2 linked regions of the Daphnia pulex genome follow. Each later gene encodes a partner of the first gene's protein in a complex. Links are inferred from orthologs where the notes say so. Each region holds a gene or a part of one and is shown in the gene's direction. Other genes may lie near its edges.

Evidence for each region. The genes of interacting proteins can lie anywhere in the genome.
Region 2: condensin complex subunit 1-like (region 1) and structural maintenance of chromosomes protein 2-like share a complex: the UniProt entries of both Homo sapiens proteins name them as parts of the condensin complex. The link is inferred for Daphnia pulex from reciprocal best matches to the Homo sapiens genes NCAPD2 and SMC2.

What each region holds. Positions count from the first base shown.
Region 1 is NC_060021.1:6,807,322-6,811,547, reverse strand, and holds the start of condensin complex subunit 1-like, read left to right. Parts: upstream 1-1,426; 5' UTR 1,427-1,554; coding exon 1,555-1,660; intron 1,661-1,831; coding exon 1,832-2,010; intron 2,011-2,074; coding exon 2,075-2,168; intron 2,169-2,231; coding exon 2,232-2,371; intron 2,372-2,440; coding exon 2,441-2,768; intron 2,769-2,832; coding exon 2,833-2,960; intron 2,961-3,118; coding exon 3,119-3,280; intron 3,281-3,352; coding exon 3,353-3,580; exon of another isoform or gene 3,581-3,638; coding exon 3,639-3,789; exon of another isoform or gene 3,790-3,877; coding exon 3,878-3,891; exon of another isoform or gene 3,892-4,085; coding exon of another isoform or gene 4,086-4,226. Other genes in the region: uncharacterized protein LOC124193883, read right to left, coding at 4,086-4,226; uncharacterized protein LOC124193881, read right to left, coding at 111-245, 306-620, 680-823, 892-953, 1,012-1,129. UniProt on the Homo sapiens protein: Regulatory subunit of the condensin complex, a complex required for conversion of interphase chromatin into mitotic-like condense chromosomes.
Region 2 is NC_060019.1:8,746,220-8,750,348, forward strand, and holds the start of structural maintenance of chromosomes protein 2-like, read left to right. Parts: upstream 1-1,329; 5' UTR 1,330-1,443; coding exon 1,444-1,761; intron 1,762-1,822; coding exon 1,823-1,960; intron 1,961-2,031; coding exon 2,032-2,614; intron 2,615-2,679; coding exon 2,680-3,210; intron 3,211-3,275; coding exon 3,276-4,129. UniProt on the Homo sapiens protein: Central component of the condensin complex, a complex required for conversion of interphase chromatin into mitotic-like condense chromosomes.

The sequences.
Region 1 (4,226 bases):
GTTTGGACTAGTCTAATTATTTTTTAAACACAGTATCCTATCCTGAGCGATAGTATATAATTACGTTTATTTACAAGGTGTCGGTATATTAATATTCTCCTTACACAAAATCAGTCTGACCCGCAAAGCTTTTGAAACGGAGGGAAAGACTTATCCTTAATAGTACGTTTCAAGAGATTTTCAGATTTCTTTAAATTAGTCTCAGAGGTAGTACTTTGTTGTAATTCCAGTAGAGAATCTGCACCCTACATTAAATTTGTGTGTAAAGTTAATTATTAAAACAAATATTTAGAAGGCATATTTACCTTTTTCCAAGCAGTGACCTTGGTTCTGATATTATTTATTTCTTCTCCAAATTCTAAAAGTGGAGCAGAGGATCCACTTTTGGGAAGACAGATTTTTAAATCAGAGTTGAAAATATCATTAAATTGATCAGCAGCAGCTTTCAATCTATTTGCTTGTTCAGTGAAGTTAGGGATGAGCAAATTGTCATTTTGCAGATTTTTCCTCAGTACAATCTGTTTCTTTGTAAATTGGTCTCTGCCTTTCATTTCATGAATTTGCTTAATCTCACTTTGTACATCAGCTGACAACAAAGTGGCCTTCATGCTAAAAGCATCCTAATATTTTAATATAGAGACTTTATGAGTAATAATATAGAGTACAATTTTCTCATTACCAAGAAGTTTTCCATGGAGACAAGGTTGCTCAAAGAACCACCACCAAAGGCAATATTTGTATTAATATGTGATTTTGCAAGAATTTGAAGGGGCTTGATCAAACGGTTCCAAAACTTTATTTGATCATATTTCGGTATGTCACCCTATTGATCAAAAAATTTTTATTTCTTGCAAGATCAGCAGACCATTTAAAACAACAAATAAAACTTACCTTAATAAAGGGTAGATCTTTTTTACTGCAAACATTTGCACCACACCAAAATCCAAGAATAGCTTTGGAAGGACAACATGTATTAATTCAGACTAACAAAAAATATATTAATAAAATCACCTTCATCACTCTCTGGCAATTTAATATTGCTGGAAGAACTAGAAGTAGCTGTGGAATCAAGATCTTGCAATTTTAATTGTGCTGAATGTAAAGTAGAAGGCAACGCACTTTCGATTGCCTTCGAAGTTATCCAAAGAATTAAATCCTTTCGTGGTTTCCCTGGTGTAAACAAGAGTTCCTCAATCCACCAATCATCAGTTCGGACGATTAGTGGACAATTAACTGACTGAAGAACATTAATAATTTCTGATATGTTCTCTTCAATCGTTGACATTTTCTAAAAAACAACGAGAAATTCTCGTCTACTTTCAAACTGTCAACAATTTGAACAAAAAATACAGCGTTGCCTGGTTGGCCATTAGCAGTCGTCTGCTTGGCATCTTTTAGACAATGGCAATGTTGTTCAATCCAAATATTCATTTGTTTACATTTCATTACTTTGTTCGACGCGCGTTCAAACGCCTAGCTTTAATCAAGTCGGCGTGAAAAACAGAGCAGCGTGTGTAGTATTAAGCTAACTGCGGGAAAGTCCATTTTTTAGTAATGGCAGGTGCCGTGGTTGAAAACCTGAGTAATCGAAAGTTGATTGTGTTGATATCTTTCCTCCTTATATGTCTTCTAGTATGCTTTCTTCTCGGCGGCTTGGTCGGTAAGTCTTAACTTCTGTCAGATGAACCTTTGTGACTCACATTTCTTAAAATAGCACCCCGTTAATAGAGAAGTCTGGTTTTCGGTGGTGGTCTGGCTTTTTCCTGTAAACATTTTTGAATGTGGGAAAGGGCATTTATCAGTAACTACATTCTTTTAATTTCAATTGCAGCTCCAGCACCATCCAATGTTCAGTCTGTTTTGGCCACAAAATGCTATGATAATAGTCAAAACAAAAGCAAATTCTTTTATGTCAGACCTAATGGTGGTTGTGACAAGATTGATGATTTGCATGGGCCTGAAGCAGAGGAGAGACATATAACTGATAAAAATGTTGTTTTTGCTTTCCAGGTATGTAATCTAAAATTTAGAGTATTTTGAAAGGTTTTAAGTGTCAAGTCTGTTAATTTTGTAGTTACCTCTACCACGTGGAGGAATTGAATTGGACTACTCTCGGTGGATGCAAAATCTTATTGGAATTTTACAAATTGATGTTACCTATTTTAAAGGTAAAATATTTTTTAATTTTTAATATTTTGTTCTGTTCCCTTTCTTCAGTATTGATTTTATAGAAAGGGAGCTAATGGAACCCAGAGTTCCTGTTACAATTGAAGCCAGGCTTGGTTATCGGAACAAGGGAGATCCTGATGATGAGTGGAAGGAGTATGCTACATCAACTGAAAGCAGAACTATGGATTGTTCACCTCCTGAAGTAATAATTTATTTATTTTTCTGAAGGATGAAATGACGAATTAAGTTTTTGTAATTTTCGTTTTTTTAGTGGGATGATGGTTACCTTTATAATTGCCCTCTTCTACCACTGTTTGAACTTGGTGCATTACATCATGACTACTACCTTCTGAATCTGCGATTCCCGATGATATATGAAAACAACCGAGGCCTCGGTCCTGTATCCGATCTTTGGCTTGTCGTCATTAATCAGAATGGTGGTTTTACCAAAGTTTGGTTGTCTTTGAAGACAATTTTCTTTCCCATGGTAGTAGGAGTCATGATCTGGTTTTGGCGTCGTGTTCAGTTATTAGCTAGGCAACCCACGTTATTGGAATCAATGCTCTTGGCTCTTGGCGTCGCTTTATCTACTTTAAATCGTAATTTAATCAGAAGTTTTATAAAATAATGTGTTTTGCTGACTCCTCTGTTGTTCTTTTACAGTTCCCCTTGAGTACTTAACCCTGAGCTTTGAAATGCCTTTCATGCTTCTTTTGGGAGATATGAAACAGGGTATTTTTTACTCGATGCTATTATCTTTCTGGCTTGTTTTCGCCGGAGAACATCTCGTGGTAATGTGTTAATTTTTTTCATTCGCTTTACTAGCATATAACTCAACTAATGCTCTAATTGATTTCTAACATCCACACAAAATCCAACATTTTAGAATTAGGTATATTTGTTTTATGACATTTGTTTTCAAATTTATGTTAATATGTTAAACATGTAGGATGATACTGAAAGAAAAGGACTAAGAGGTTATTGGAAACAGCTTAGCTGTGTTGGAGTTGGTTGTTTGTCCATGTTCATCTTTGACATGTGCGAAAGAGGCATCCAACTTAGGAATCCGTTCTATTCTATTTGGGCGAATGAAATTGGGACACAAATCGCGGTAAATTATTAATTGGTTACAGCTTTGCTTGACATTTTGTTTCTTCATTCGTCAATTTTGTTTGTTTTATAGCTGAGCTTTGTTATTATTGCTGGAATCGCTGCTGGAGTTTACTTTCTTTTCTTGTCATATATTATTTATCGTGTGTTCCGCAATATCAGTGCTAAGCGTCAGGCGTTGCCTGCAATGGCGTCCGCTCGCAGACATTTCTATGAAGGTGTCATTTACAGATTCAAGTTTCTTATGCTGGCCACTCTACTTTGTGCTGCTATGACCGTCATTGGATTCATTCTTGGTCAAGTAAGTTATTTTAAGTGCATCGTATGAGCAGAGCTCTTTAACACCATTACTGTCTCAGGTATCGGAAGGCAAGTGGAAATGGGATGAGGACATCAATTTGGAATATACGTCTGCTTTCTTCACTGGAGTGTACGGAATGTGGAACGTTTACATATTGGCACTGCTTTGCTTGTATTCTCCATCTCACAAGCGCTGGCCTAGCGAGAGTGGTCTGTTAAATTTGGAAAAATAATTATTTCTTTACGTGAAAGAATGTATGTTTCTATTAGCGTAATAGTGCGCTCTCTATATTTGCAGAGATTGTCATGGAGGTATGAATTCCTTTTGATTTTCTCTTTTTTATCGCCTTACATATTAATTGGTATTTAGGAACTAAGTGGAGAGGATTTAAACGAGAGGATGGGTGAACTGCGTGATCAATTATTGGATCCTCTTCTGGAACACTTGCATGACGTTCATTCTTTCATTAGAAGTAAAACGCTTCAGCTATGGCACAAGCTGAGCCTTAAGCACGCCATCCCATTAAACTTGCAACACAAAGTTTTAACCATGACCACCGGTCGTTAAAATGATAAGACTGGCACCTTTCGTAAGAATGCCGTTCAATTATTGATTTCTTCAAATTAGTCTCAGAGGTAGTACTTAG
Region 2 (4,129 bases), on another chromosome or scaffold:
GTGGGCGTTGTGCTTTTCTTTTGGGACTCGCCAGTCATCTGTTGTCCAAGCAGTTGATTGGGAAAGCCCAAAGTTTGTCAAATTGGCCTTTTGGATTTTTACATTTGTCACCCAACGCTTGATGGATCGTGCTGACATTTGTACACTGATGAAATGTGCCTGCCTCGTTACATTGTTAATTACGCCTTGGTTTGAGGCATTCGGTTCACATCGATTATCCTTTTGTTTGCCTTCTGTACTAAATAATATGACTATGACTTAACATGACTGTCTGTCTGTGAGAGAGAAGTTTGCAATTCTGTTTGCTATCGAATTTATGTTTAAAAAAGAAATTTGCATGATTCCATGTAAACACAATCGTGCTGATCGTAAGACCCAAGGATATACTGTATGCCCTTTTTTTCTGCTCAGCTCCTTGTTGTTAATTCTCACCCTTTCTCCTTCACGAGCCGAAGCAAATAGTTTTATTTATTATTTTTGAACACTTTGGGCTATATTTATTCTTAGATAACAACTGAAATTTTCTTGTAAATAGATATGTACAGTTGTGTCTGGTCGTAACAAAAAAAAATTGCAATACAAGTGGGACAATGTTCCGTGCTAAAAAAAAAGGAAAAAATTACAAGTGAGCAATTTTGACTAAATTTTTTAAACATTTAAAGGACATAATCTGACGCTGTTTTAGAATCTAACGATTTCTAGGTTCTTGTCGTTGGGTTCTTCGTTTCTAGGCATCCTCTGGTTGCCGTTGGTTGCTCTGTGGTTCTGGTACTCTGGCCAGAGCCACAGTAGCATCACGATCGTAGCATGTAGCATCGTAGCATACTATCTCTCTCTGCTCTGAGTGTGGGGCCAGGTGGGGCCGCTGGCTTCTCTGGCTGTCAGTGGACCAGTGGACATGAGTCGGCAGTCGCTGACTCGCTGTTAGGGCTGTGGCCCGGACGTTTTTTAGCGGTTTTTTTTTTTAAATGGGTTTTTTAGATGGGTTTTTCTTCTTCCGCGGGTTGGGCCAACAGAGTAAATGGGTTCGGCCCGGGCCGACCCATGGGTCAAAAAATTTTTACCGGCCGGGTAAAACGGCCCGGATAAAAAATCGGGTCAAACACACTTTTTTTTTACAAACTTAAAAAAATTCCCTAAATTTCTTAATTATCTTCATCTTCCAACAGTGACACGTCAATTCTGTCTTCTGAACACCCCTGAACGCCCTTTTCTACCACTTATCCTACTTTTCATGCTACGAAATTATCGTGCGTTTACATACGCATCAAGTGTGGTGGGAAAAGGCTTCTTTTTTTGAAAATCCAATCCAGAGTATTTGAGGGTTGAAAGCATAGCCTACGTAAGTTATGCGTTGAGCCGTTGAAAGGAAAAGGAGAAAACAGCGGGAAAAGACGTTGAGTGGCTGGCAAGCCGTGATCAAGTATTTTTGTGTTTTAAAAAATGTACATCAAATCTATGGTAGTTGATGGTTTCAAATCCTATGGCCAAAGAACTGAAATCAATGGATTTGATCCAATGTTTAATGCCATTACAGGGCTAAATGGTAGTGGTAAATCTAACATTCTGGATGCTATCTGTTTCCTTCTTGGCATCACAAATTTGAGCCATGTAAGAGCAACAAATTTGCAAGAATTAGTATACAAAAGTGGACAAGCAGGTGTCACGAAAGCCACTGTGACAGTCACCTTTGATAACAAAGACAAAAAACAAAGTCCAATTGGCTATGAGCATTATGATGAAGTTACAGTGACTAGACAGGTATTGTTATTTATGATTTCATTATGACTAGGATATATAGTCTATGTTTCCATATTTTCAGGTTGTCATCGGTGGAAAAAACAAGTATCTCATAAATGGATCAAATGTTCAAAACAACCGTGTCCAAGATTTTTTCCGCTCTGTGCAGTTAAATGTCAACAATCCTCATTTCCTTATCATGCAAGGAAGAATTACTAAAGTATTGTGCTTAACTCATTCATCAATTTGTGGTTGCATTTCAGTGTATAAGTATGTGTTTTCACATTGCAGGTTTTGAATATGAAACCCCCTGAAATATTGGCCATGATTGAGGAAGCTGCAGGGACCAGAATGTACGAAGCGAAAAAGCAACAGGCTTTGAAAACAATTGAGAAAAAGGAAGAAAAAATCAAAGAAATCAATGACATCCTTTCAGAAGAAGTTACGCCAACATTGAACAAACTGAGAGAAGAACGAACTCAGTACCTGCAGTTTCAGAAGTCCGAACGTGAATTAGAACACTTGAACCGCCAATATGTAGCTTATAGATTCCTCAGCCTTGAAAAAGCTAATGCCCAAGTAAAGGAGGAATACAATGAGATTTTAAAAGAAAAGACAAATCATTGTGCCACTGAAGAAAAACTCAAAAATGAAATTGAGGCACTGGAAAAAGAAATTCATACTCTTCAACATCAGAGAGACCAAGTTGGTGGCAAAGAACTTACACAGCTTGAAGAAAAATTGCGTGTTCAAGAAAAAGCCGAATCGAAAGCCCAATCAGCTGTTAAGGTGCTCAAGGAAAATATTAAAGCTGAAGAAAAGAGGAAAAAAGAGCTGAAGAAAAGTCTTGACGACGACACCGCTGCTTTAGAAGGTAAAATTTTAACTTTTATTTTATATATTTTCAGTATTATAGCGTATTTATATTCATCGGAACAGGCAAGGAGGTAGAAGAGAGTAAACTAGGCGAGACATTTGAAAAATTAAGGCAAACTGAACAACAGGATAGTGAAGCTTTGACAGCTGCCCAAAAGCGCTTCCAAGAAATCAGTTCTGGTTTGTTGGCCAGTGACAATGGTGCTGCGGCCACTTTACCTGAAGAACTCATGGCCACGCAAAAGAATGTTGCTCAAGCCGAGTCGCAGTTGAAGCATTCGGAAATGACAACCCAACATCTAAAAAAAGAGCTGAAAGTTAAAATTAATGAGATGAAAAAGTCGGAGGTCGATTATAAAAAAGATGCACAAAACTCTAAGCACCTCGAGAATGAAGTTAAGAGACTGGAAGCCGAACTTGGGCAGGTTCACTATGATGAAGAGAAAGTAACTAATTTAGAGCAGTTGCAAAGAAGCTTGAAACCGGAAATGCATTCGCTGCGAGAGAAAATTGAATCATTCGAAGCTCGATTTCCTCAAATGGCCTTTCGGTACACCCCTCCTGAAAGGCAATTCGACGCATCTACTGTGAAAGGTTGCATTTCTATAGTGTGACTTTGTTTATATTTCTTTTCTTAACTTTTTTTTCTTCGTGAACAGGTGTGGTGTGCAGTTTATTTGAAGTTCCAGATATGTCCTACGCTACTGCTCTAGATATTACTGCTGGAGGTCGGCTATACAACATAGTAGTCGACAGCGAAAACACGGCAAAAAAGCTTCTTGAGAGAGGCAAGCTCCAGTCACGTGTCACATTTATCCCTCTCAACAAAATTGAAGGCAGAACCATCGATGAACGGACTACGGCAACTGCCAAAAGAATCGTTGGTAAAGAAAACTGCCATACCGCAATATCTTTGATTGAGTTTGAGAACCACTTGACGCCGGCAATGAAGTACATTTTTGGCAGCTCCTTTGTTTGTAAGGGTCTAGACGAAGCTCGACAAGTTACGTTTCACGATCAGATAATGCGTAAAACAGTAACTTTGGAGGGGGATGTCGTTGATCCTGGTGGTACTTTAACTGGTGGCAGTCGAGCTTCTGGCCAATCTGCTATTCTCAGAGTTAACGAAATCAAGCAGTACCGCAACGAATTTGAGGCAAAAGATCGTCAACTAAAGGAAGCGGAACAAGAACTTCGAGTTATGGAGCAGGCTTCAGCACAGTATCGCACTCTGAAACAGCGTTACGATGTGAAAAAGCACGAATTTGAATTGCTCCAGCAAAGGCTCCAGCAAACGCTTCACCACCGCCAAACTCAAGAAGTCGAAAATATGAAGTCGGAATTGGAATCAGCAGAGCAAAAGGCCCTCGAATGCACCGACATCATTAAAGAAGGTAAATCGCGCATCAAGGAGTTGGAGAATCAGTTAAAGAATGCCGGTAAGATTCGGGAAACTCAGTTAAAAGCAGCCCAAGCTGAATTGGATCGTTGCAAGAAGGCGGCAGCTGCTTCA